Linked DNA regions of Arabidopsis thaliana. The protein of the gene in region 3 interacts with the protein of the main gene of each other region in a pairwise test. Each region holds a gene or a part of one and is shown on either strand. Other genes may lie near its edges. The genes, in order: WHY3, AT1G47655 and GATA14.

Region 1 (4,096 bases), on a different chromosome or scaffold from region 3:
GCTCCATTTGTGATCTTGTCCAGTATATATGCTGCATTAGAAAGATGGGAAGATGTGGAAAGTATCAGGCAGGTAATAGATCAGAAGCAACTGGTGAAACTTCCAGGTCTTAGTTTGTCTGGTTAAGTATATGCCGACTGGTCGAATATGAGCAAAGGCAGGGATCTCTTTGGGGGAGTATTGACTTGCTCTTGACTCGGGTCTCGTAAAGCAGGTGATTCACCAATTTAGGTTTACATCCACAGTGTGGAAGACACTGAAGGACCTAAACTAACAAAGGTAAACGGCTCAGTGTGCGGGGTATTACACTCGGTTTAATGTCTGAATGCGATAATCCGCACGATGATCTCTTTATCTTTGTTTGTTTAGGTCCCTTAGTTTCTTCTATACCGTGAATCCAATCCTGTATTGGATGAGCTGGTTTATGACCTCTGAATCGAGAGCATGTCTATGCTCCCTAAAGAGATCAGAGTATTAGATCCTTTGTGATCAAATATTATATGTAAACACTAGACAAGAGGATGAGTATCTGATTCTTGTATTAGCAAAATTGTAATTGATTGCTTTTGAATGAATACAGATTGTCTAACACAAAATATAAGTTATTTCCTACACAACAACACATTCCATTTGGTCTAAACTACTTCAGTCTCTGCTGCTGCTTTTCTTTCCGTTCTCTATCTCGAACAGCTCTTGGTGACTCATTGATTTGCAACAACAAAAAGATGGTATGGACCGAAAAACCGAGTTTGCAAGATTGCCTCTAATCTCCATCATCTACTCCATTCGTAGTCTCCTCCATACTTAGGCGAAGCATTGTTAAGGCGGTTAGAGTCTTCTGGTTTGATGGAGTTAGCAAATGCACTCCAGCCTATAAGGTGCGGCAAGACGAACTGCAATTCAAGTATACAGTTAGAACAACGGGGAAAGCTTCTCACAAAGAGTGTGTGAGAGAGAACTTACGTTGAAAGCAGAGATAAGAACAGCAAACTCTGCTTTAGTGATTGGTATGTATACACTCTCATCTACATTCAAGAGCTTGTTTTGAACACCTTCATGAAAAATCAACAGTTGAAATCAGAAGAGCTAGACGAAAATAAAGAAGAAGAGAGGAATAAAGCTTTTGCTTACTCAGGTTAAAGAAGCGGCCAGAACCATCTGGGAGCGGCTCAACTTTCAACACTTTCCTCACTTTACCTTCATCACTACTACTCAACACCAACACCACATTGATTACGAATCAGAACTACAGAGAACAACACTATCTGTGTAATGAAATAAAATCCTAAATCATACCCTTTTCCCTTGAATGGATCATGGAAGAATTCACATGATTCCCTCGGCCCAAGGCTAACTAGATTACCGATTTCTGTAACCGACAACGAGAAGACCTGCATCATTCGACATCAAAAAATGATTTAACCAGTCACAATATTAAGCAAAAGACTGTTTCTTTCACCAAAGCAAATCATGATCATTATCACAATCCATATACTACCAAGTTAAAGATCCAAACCTACATCTTTTCTACATCAAAACATAATCTTACCACAATCATAATATCTTTCACCAAACCAATTGATTTTCATCATCACAATCTATAAATACCAAGTTCATGATAAAAAGTAGACCTGCAACATTTCAAATCAAACATATCTAACTAACCACAAACACTATAGAAAGTCAAAAGGCTGCTGCTTTCACCAGATCAAGTCATGAATTCTTCTATCACAATCTATGAAGTAGTAAGTGAAAGATAAAAACCAAACCTGCTTCCTACTCCAATCATATTGACGAACACCAGCTGCAGGAGCAAATTGGAGCAACAAAAAACCTTCCTTTGTCAGCTTGAACGCACCAGACTGGATCAGAACATGAAGAATGGAGATCAATCTAAGATCAAACAAACAATACAATAGAGTTTTTGATCTTCGACAAAGACACATACTTCCAAAGCCACAAACTCTGGTGCTCGTGGTTCTATCGTAAGAGCAGCTTTCCCTTTGTAAATCGAATGACCCACGTAAAATCTAGGAGAAGATACTTCAGCTATAAAACCAAAACAAACAAACAAACAAAATTTCAAACTTTCTGAATTTCAAAGCTTCCCATTTTTCAAAGCTCAAACAATGAGTGAAAACCCTACCGTTTTGCGAAGAAGACGAGTCACCAAACCTCTGTTTCTCAAAGTAATCACTTTGTCGAGACTTCACCGTTAATTTCAACCTCGCCGTCGGTTTTAAAGGAATAATTTTTCCGGCGAATCCACCGGAGGTGAGAATTGAGTGAGAAGAGAGAAAACGAGCATCTGAAAACTTATGGTTTATGAAGGTTTTGGAGAAAACCGCCATTGGAGGAGAAGATAACAGCTGCGACATTGTTTTTCTTTTCACTCTCAATGCTTCTTCGTCTTCTTCACCGCGGGATTACGATGACGAAAAGGGTTTAGGAGAGAATACTTTCTGTTAATTCGTTTTTTACCCAATCATATTTAACATCTTACAAATGTGCCCCAATATAACCAACGTTTATAAGAAAGCCCTCCAACTTTTGCAAGACATTAACAAGAGATGAAAATAAACATTTTCGAAACATGAAAATAAACATTAACGAGAAAAGAATCGACGTTAGTAATTTCATATTCAAGAGTTTGTGCATCATTAATTTGTCTCTTCTCTTGAACATATTATCCAGTAGCATATGAGTTTATTGCTCTTGATTCTAACTTATAATGTTTTAAGTCATTTTCTGTACATATTTTCACTATTTGATAAATCAATTAAACAATCAAACAATATATAAATATATAATGTACGATGATACGCATCAATAGAAAAAAATATATTGCATACTATTTTTTTTTTAGCTACTCCAGAGTTTCAAAAAATCTTGCAAAACATATAATCTAATTCAACAAAAATGTATTTGTTGTATTTAGTTACAACTATTGACTTAAAATGGTGTTTGCGAAAAAAAAAAAAAAAAAACTATTGACGTTAGAGTTTGATGCATCCACTCAGCAAGTAAGTCCTCTCCCAAGCAATTTTAATGAGGGGAACCATGCAATTAAACCGTTATAGATGACTCATTCCCAAGGATCTGAAATTAAAAAGAATTAAAAAAAAAGTGTATATTGAAATCTACAGACACATCAAAACTAAACTGATTGAACTTTTGTACCTCAACTGCAGAAAAAGTAACAATTTTACATCCTCTAACTAGATTTAGGCTTACACGATAACTATTCAGTTTCGTGAGATACTCTAATGGATGGATTGTTGTTTTTCAACATCTAAGTCAAAAGTTTGCTAATCTCGAAAATAGTTAAATCTGATTATATACAAATGTATGACTTAACAAATTTCTTGTGTCGTTAAAGTATTAGATAACATTCAGAAACTATATTAAAATCTTAATTATGTATTTTTTTTAAAAACAAAAACAAAGTCTCTCTAAGATTAAAGTTCTTTTATAAAACTGTAACTTCCAAAAAAATGTATTCGACGTGAAAAAAACTTCTGTAAACAACAGATAATTACTGAATAATTCGTTCTTCAAGAGTCGAAGTGTCATTAATTTGCCTCTTCTCTCTAACATGTCATCGAGTAGCATATAAATTTATTGCTTTTGGCTATAATGTTATTGCTTTGTAATCATTTTCTATACATATTTCACTATTTGATCTATCAATTAAACATTCAAACAATAGATGTATTTATATAATCTACGATGATATGCATCAACAAATGAAAATTATTCTGCATATTTTTTTTTTGAACAACTCCATAATTTCATTTAATCGTGACCAAATCAACTACTATATTTGAAAGAAAAACTAATCAACCAAATTGAATCTAAATCTAGTGTAGTCTTATATCAACATCTAAATTCTAATTAAAATAGTAAATATGATTCATTTGTTTATACCTAAAATCTGATAAAATCATTAAAAAGTTAAAAATCAACAACATTTTAATGTATCTTATATATTAGTGTTGACAATGAGTAGATTAGTCAATGTATCTTATATATTAGCATTGATCCTTTAAACTTTTGATGTTGGTTCCTAGCATTATATATATTTTAATTTTTATAG
Region 2 (3,516 bases), on a different chromosome or scaffold from region 3:
AACACAATTCGTTTTTCTTGCTTTGACCACAATAGGAGACTACACAACAATATCTATTAGCTATATTCCCTACATTCAAATTTTATTTGAACGTTTAACCAAGTACACTCTAGCTGAGATGTTTGACACAAGGATTAAACCTAAAGATTTTTACAAAAAAATAACACTAGCTGATAAGTACACCATAATCTACATTAACCCTAAGAATTTCTAATCCATTGATCGAATGAAAGGTTTTAGTTCTTAGCATTCATATGAATTGTCTCATATGCTAAACACTAGACTCACATGACTTTGATATACAAAATCTTCTACACTGCAAATGAACAATGTTGTTGTTGATGTTTATCTATAATACAAACAAAATTAAGTTCAACGCAATTTCCTCATTTCAAAGATGTAGCAACAGAGCATCTCTTACTCACTTCTGCAACAGTACTTATGTACTTTTTCCCTTTTTGGACTTTTATGCTCAATTCATCTTTCTACATTTGACTATTCCTTTCAAAATATTAACCAACCAAAATAAAAAGAAAGAAACGTTTTTACTTTTTACTTGTAAATCCATTCCAATATGTTCGTCACATAAACAGAGGATTTATACACCAGAATTGTTGGACCTCAAAAACTAAAATAAATAAAAACATTTTTGCTTCAATTTGGTTTCTTTTGCTCTTCTTTCTAGGAAAAAAAAGAAAACAAACAGAAATTTCCAAAAAGACACCAACAAAAGAAGACAAAGGCAAGAAATCAGAAACGGTTTCATTTTCACTTAACATCGTTGGTTTGCATTGAGATCTCAAGACCAGGCCATATCAAACTGTCTCCTCCACTTTTACCTTCAATCTCCCCAATCTGCCACGTGTCACCACCACAACCATCAACCACCGGAATCTCTCCTACGGAAGAATCTCCAAGATACCCAATACTCATCTCCTCAAGCCCGTACCCGTACCCAAACCCGTAATCCAACCCACCATTTCCACTTCCTAAACCTAACAGAGAAGCAAAGCTTCCATGACCTGAAATTAAATTAGTAACCTTAGTTTGACTCGCTTCAGTCGTGGCTGGTTCTTGTGTCGTGGTGGTGATGACGGAAGAAGAGGAGGAAGAGGAGGTGGCAGTGGTGGAGAAAGAACGGTGACGTTTTGAGGAGCTTCGACGAGTTCCACCACCGACGGGGACGTCACGGAGTGTACCACCTTGAGTCCAGTAACGGCGGCAAGATTTGCAGTAGTAGCGAGGCTGAGCGAGGTTATAGTTGTTGTAGTAACAGAACTTGGTGGTGGTGGAGTTGCAGCGAGGACAAGGAAGAGGCTCAGCCAGATTTGGCGGTGGGTAAGCCGCCGTTGAGGGCTGAACTCTGGTGGGTCGGGTTTGGTTTGGTTCCGACGGCATATTAAGTTGAGAGTATGAGAAAACGAGAGAGAAGTTAATGGAGAGAAGAGAGAAGAGAGAAAGCGAAAGAGAAGGGGATGTTGTGAGAGTGGTGATGTGGTTTTTATATAGAGGCTTTTAGACGTTTTTTTCAGTTGCCTTTTATTTATTAATTGATACATATGAATTTAATTTATTTTCCCCTTCTAAAAATAATTTAATTCATATTTAGTTTTTTTTAAAAATAATTTCTTCTATATTAAATTTAACTAAAAAATGGTTAAAATATGAGAGTGGATTTAAAAATAGTATTTACTTCGTTAAAATGAATTATTAGCGGAATAGAGATGAGAGAAAAGTTTGTTGAAGATATTATGAAGCCTTTTCTCATTAATTGTAAAATGATTCTGTACAAATGTCTTATATACTTTACACTATACAATGGTTCTACTAAACCAACTAATACCAACTAAACCAATATACATATCTGATATGCCCCCTCAAGATGTGCATGAAAAGATATTAAGAATGCTCATCTTGGATTTAAGGTGTTCGAATTGATGGGGAAATAACGGATTAGTAAGAATGTCCGCTACTTGGTCTTCAGTTCGCACATGAAGCAACTTCAGCTCGCCATTGTCTAGTTTCTCCCTAACCGTGTGACAATCTAGCTCTATATGCTTCGTTCTTTCATGGAACACAGGATTTGTGGCGATGTAAATAGCAGTTGTGCTATCAGAATATAACACAGGAACCAAGTAGCTAGCTTTTAAAGACATGAGCAAAGTGTGAAGCCATACCAGTTCACACGTAACCAGTGCTAAGGCACGGTACTCAGCCTCTGCAGAAGATCTGGAAACCACATGCTGTTTCTTGGAACGCCAAGATATCAATGAATCACCCACAAACATGCTGAATCCAGTTGTTGATCTCCTACTATCTGGACAGGAAGCCCAATCTGAATCTGCAAAACCTTTAAGAGTAAGATCTGCAGATGCAGAATAGAACAGACCTTGGCCAACACTGCCTTTGATATATTGTAAAACTCGATAAGCAGCTTGAAGATGAGACGTCCTAGGAGCAGAGGAAAACTGACATAACTTGTTAACTGCAAAGGTGATGTCAAGTCTAGTAATTGTCAAATACATCAGCTTTCCTACAATACGACGGTATTGTTCTCTATCATCCAACAAATCACCATCAGTCTTCATCATCTTCACATTCGGGATCATGGGAACTGAAACAGGTTTACAGTTAACCATACCAGTAGATGCTAATAACTCAAGAGCATACTTTCTCTGGCAGATAGAAATACCAGCTTCAGTTCTAGCAATCTCAAGACCCAAAAAATATTTCAAATCCCCAAGATCTCTTAACTTGAATCGCTGTTGTAAATCCTGAGTCAATTGTATTGCAGCACCTTCACTTGTACTCGCAATAGCAATATCATCAACATAAACCAAAACAATCACAAATTCTCCATCATACTCTTTAATAAACAAAGTATGATCACCATGTGTCTTCTTAAAACCCAAATCAAGTAATGAAGCAGAAAACTTCTTAAACCACTGACGAGAGGCCTGTTTCAAACCATAAATGGATCTCTTCAATCGACAGACTGAATTAGGAGGTAGAGTGATACCTTTCCTTGCCGCATAACCTTCAGGTAACTTCATGTAAATCTCTTCCTCTAACTCACCATTCAAGAAAGCATTAGACACATCAAGCTGTTTTAAGAACCATTTCTTAGAGGCAGAAATCTTCAATAACAACTTGATTGTAGTCATCTTTGCCACTGGAGAGAAAGTATCTGTATAGTCTAGACCTTCTTTCTGAGTGTAACCCTTAGCAACCAATCTAGCCTTATACCGCTCAAGACTGCCATCTGCCAAAAACTTCAAACTGAATACCCATTTACACCCTACTGCCTTCTTCCCTGCAGGTAAAGTAGTAATCTCCCAAGTGTGTGTAGTTTCCATAGCACCAATCTCTGCATCAACAGCCTCACATCATTCTTTGGTGTCCTGTGCCTCAGCAAATGTGGTGGGAATAGGAATTTTTGTGATATTATTGATATAACACATGTGAGATGGAGAAATTTTAGAGTAAGAGATAGTAGAGGAAATAGGATATTTGTGA
Region 3 (3,309 bases):
TTCATATGTACTTGTTTTCTTTAGTTATAAGATTACTTGTTTTTCTTAAAATTGTTTCATCATGTGAATTGTAGTGGCTGAAATTGTAGGTTTTTACATTTGTAAAGGAAATAATAGAAAAAGGAATTCATAATTTAAGATTGAAGAACAGAACTAGATTCAAGGCATCAAATTCTATTCAATAATGAAAAGACGATTGCTATAAAGTGTAAAATAATTATCGTTCAAACTTGTACTATATGATTTGGTGTTTTGTCTTTAAACTCATCTAAAAGTAAAACTATAAATTAATGGAGGCAAGTGTGAAGGAGATTTCACACGATGTACAATTATATCAATTCGCGAGGATTCTACGCAGAAAAGATATTGAAGTGTTCATCAAGAGCATGGAGAAGAAAAAGGAGAAGGAGGTGTCGTCTGTCGTGGATCTAATGAGAGTCGAAAGGAATTGTCCGTGATAAAATCGTTTATATAACAGTTCTCATAATTTGCAATATATAATAAATTTAGATGGTAAAAAAAAAAAAACTCATTTACATAAAATATCATGTTTTATCTATACACTTATAAAAGAAAAACAAAGTAGTTCAAAACCCTAATTTCCTAGTTGAATGATACGACTCCGAGAAACCGAAGCTATTCGGAGGAGATGACTTCCTCTCCCTTCTGATTTCCATAACCTTTCGATGAAAGTTGGAGTGAACGTTAGGTTTGAAATCCGGACTTGAAGCAGGGCGGTACTCGGGAAGTAGCCGACCTGTCCTGTATCGCATCCCGCACGCGTTACATAGCGTTCCCGCTCCTCTCGGTCCTTCTCTCCATAGCGGAGTCTTTCTCGTCCCGCAATGTGAACAACTCTTGTCGGTAATGCCAAATTTAGAATCAAAAAGATCTGATGGACTCTTGAAAGACAGTCTTTTTTGTCTTCCTCGCTTGTTTCCAGATCGTTTTGGTGCATGAAGACGACCTCTTGTCGCGGTTGGCAGATTTGAGAAGTTTCGAGACGGTTTGGAATCGTTTGTATCAAACTCTCGAGATTCCTCAAGCTACATGGTAAAAAGAACATTGATGAGTTTTATTTTTATTCAAAACCAAAACATGTTTTGGAGAGTTGAAGGAAACTCACTAGTAAATTGGAATCTTCTATGATCTCTCTTACTCCATCAGCAAAACCGAAAACCGTATCCAAATCCATGGGTTCTTTATCGAATACGTTGACAGGGATGGGAATTTTCTGCATGGCAGTTCCAAGATCTTCTTCTTCATCTTCACGACCCGACATTCTTTTCTTAAAGAAAAGTTGACTTTATATGCATATAGCTCATATATATATCCTCAAAAATAGAATTTAAATAAAGTTATAAGGGAAGTGGATAGTTTCTTTGCCTTAGAATTCTCCGGTCGAAAGATTTTAACCAAAATAATAAAATAAAAAAGGTAATAAAACTAATATGCATGCATGGCATATTTCAGATACTCTTTCTATGATTGGTTTCGGTTAACAAGGTTTGTTTACGATCGGCTTGGTGAATTTAAACCGAGTTACACAAAGGGGCGAAGCTAGAGACGGTTAGAAGGGCTTGCTCTCAGAGTGTTTTCGGATTTGGGTCGGAGTTAATCAAACTTTAGGTTGGTTCACGCCTTCACGGTGTTTGGGGTGTGAGAATGGTTTGATTTGGCTCGGCTTCTATTCGTGTTTTGATTTAATCAAATTTCATCCGGTTAGGTCCGATCCTAAGAATTTTGGATAAAAAAATATTTGACACAATCTATCTAATTTTTATATTATCCTTTTTTAAAAATAAAAATATACATTATTCAGAACAATTATTGTACTAATACTATCCTAAGCAAAAAACGAAATTAATGGACAATGAATAATATGGAAACATAGATTCTTTATTCTCACAGATAAGAATTTAGTATTTGATTCGAATGTATATGTAATATAAACAGAATTATCGTGTTGTTATTTAATGAAATTTACATGCAAAGAAAGAGATTATATTTGTTTTTTACGTTAAAAGAGATAATAAACATTGCATAAAAGGCGGTAAAACATCCCATCTAATGAAAAAAAAAAAACTCTCTAAAACATCATATGTCTTTAGCTCTTTGGTATCTATCATAATTGATTTGTGAACTAACTTTTTTATTTTTTTGCAGCAATTTGTGAACTAACTTAGAAAGTTCATATTTGTTGAATCTTGAATCTTGATTAATCCATAGAAACCTCTTTTTCTGTTTTAACTTACGATGTACTTCACTATCCTCTCGGCAACAAATCTTTCTCAATTTTTGTATATATGCTTTATATTTGTTGACAGAAAAAGAGTAATAATTCTTGTAACCAAATTAGAAACGCTGTCAAGTATTTAGAAAATCAGTAAAACGTCATCCTTGACGAAATAGAGGGTGAAAAGTGTTTTAATGTATATCTAAATGCTTCTATTTCAGATGATTTTGTATTTTATTTGTATTGTATATAATTTTATCCGAAGTGGCAAGAGGATTATGAAGTTGATGATTCATTCTACCATATAAATTGAATCCACTTTGTTATTCACAAAGTTAAATAGAACCCTGAAATGATGACAAATGGTGAAATGTTTACAGCATGGTCGGATTATTTACTGTCCTACTAATATAAATTAATGTAAGTTGCCACCCATTGATACTAACCAAAAGCCAGGAATCTGTTATTAATTTGTTATACTTTATAATTTATTCCTTCAAGGGTTAATTATTAATGAATCAATTGGATTCCAACTTTTTGTAGTGGAAGAAAGATCACTGTGCTAACATTTACTTTCTCTTTGCACTAAAACAAAGTAAACTTCTGAAAACGAATATCTAATCTATTTCATCGTAATTATGTGAGTGATTTTCCTCTTTCCAATCTAGAAGCAACATGTAGACAAGTCTCACCAAAATTACTCTATGATCAAGACGTTAAAATTTATCGACCGCTCGAAAGGACCAATACATTGTTAGTCCCGCCCATTGGATCCGCATTATAGTGTCTCTTAGGGGCAAAACTCAAAGTCATTTCATAGACAATTTTTTTTTCTTTTTCGAATACTAAGAGGTTTTGGGCCGAAACCCGTAATCCTCCTAGGCCCGAAACCACGACATGTAATATTAATTTTGTCCCAAGCGTCACTCGAACCAGCGACCTCTAAGTTTCGCCCAGGGTTTTTACCAATTTAGCTAACGACACTTGGTCTTCATAGACATTTCTAGTATACAAAAACACATCTTCAACTCGTGTTGGTGAAAATGTCGTTTTGCTGGATATTTAGTGAACCA

What was found.
Region 1: the proteins of GATA14 (region 3) and WHY3 interact in a two-hybrid assay, tested with the Arabidopsis thaliana proteins (one large-scale study listed by BioGRID).
Region 2: the proteins of GATA14 (region 3) and AT1G47655 interact in a two-hybrid assay, tested with the Arabidopsis thaliana proteins (one large-scale study listed by BioGRID).

Annotation. Positions count from the first base shown.
Region 1 is NC_003071.7:767,671-771,766, reverse strand, and holds WHY3 (ssDNA-binding transcriptional regulator), read right to left. Parts: upstream 2,434-4,096; 5' UTR 2,379-2,433; coding exon 2,147-2,378; intron 2,050-2,146; coding exon 1,949-2,049; intron 1,863-1,948; coding exon 1,770-1,862; intron 1,392-1,769; coding exon 1,297-1,391; intron 1,209-1,296; coding exon 1,132-1,208; intron 1,053-1,131; coding exon 964-1,052; intron 894-963; coding exon 774-893; 3' UTR 532-773; downstream 1-531. Other genes in the region: AT2G02750 (Pentatricopeptide repeat (PPR) superfamily protein), read left to right, coding at 1-126. UniProt on the Arabidopsis thaliana protein: Single-stranded DNA-binding protein that functions in both chloroplasts and nucleus. In chloroplasts, maintains plastid genome stability by preventing break-induced and short homology-dependent illegitimate recombinations.
Region 2 is NC_003070.9:17,523,319-17,526,834, reverse strand, and holds AT1G47655 (Dof-type zinc finger DNA-binding family protein), read right to left. Parts: upstream 1,494-3,516; 5' UTR 1,399-1,493; coding exon 769-1,398; 3' UTR 527-768; downstream 1-526. UniProt on the Arabidopsis thaliana protein: Transcription factor that binds specifically to a 5'-AA[AG]G-3' consensus core sequence.
Region 3 is NC_003074.8:16,535,511-16,538,819, reverse strand, and holds GATA14 (GATA transcription factor 14), read right to left. Parts: upstream 1,283-3,309; coding exon 1,127-1,282; intron 1,047-1,126; coding exon 588-1,046; 3' UTR 515-587; downstream 1-514. UniProt on the Arabidopsis thaliana protein: Transcriptional activator that specifically binds 5'-GATA-3' or 5'-GAT-3' motifs within gene promoters. May be involved in the regulation of some light-responsive genes.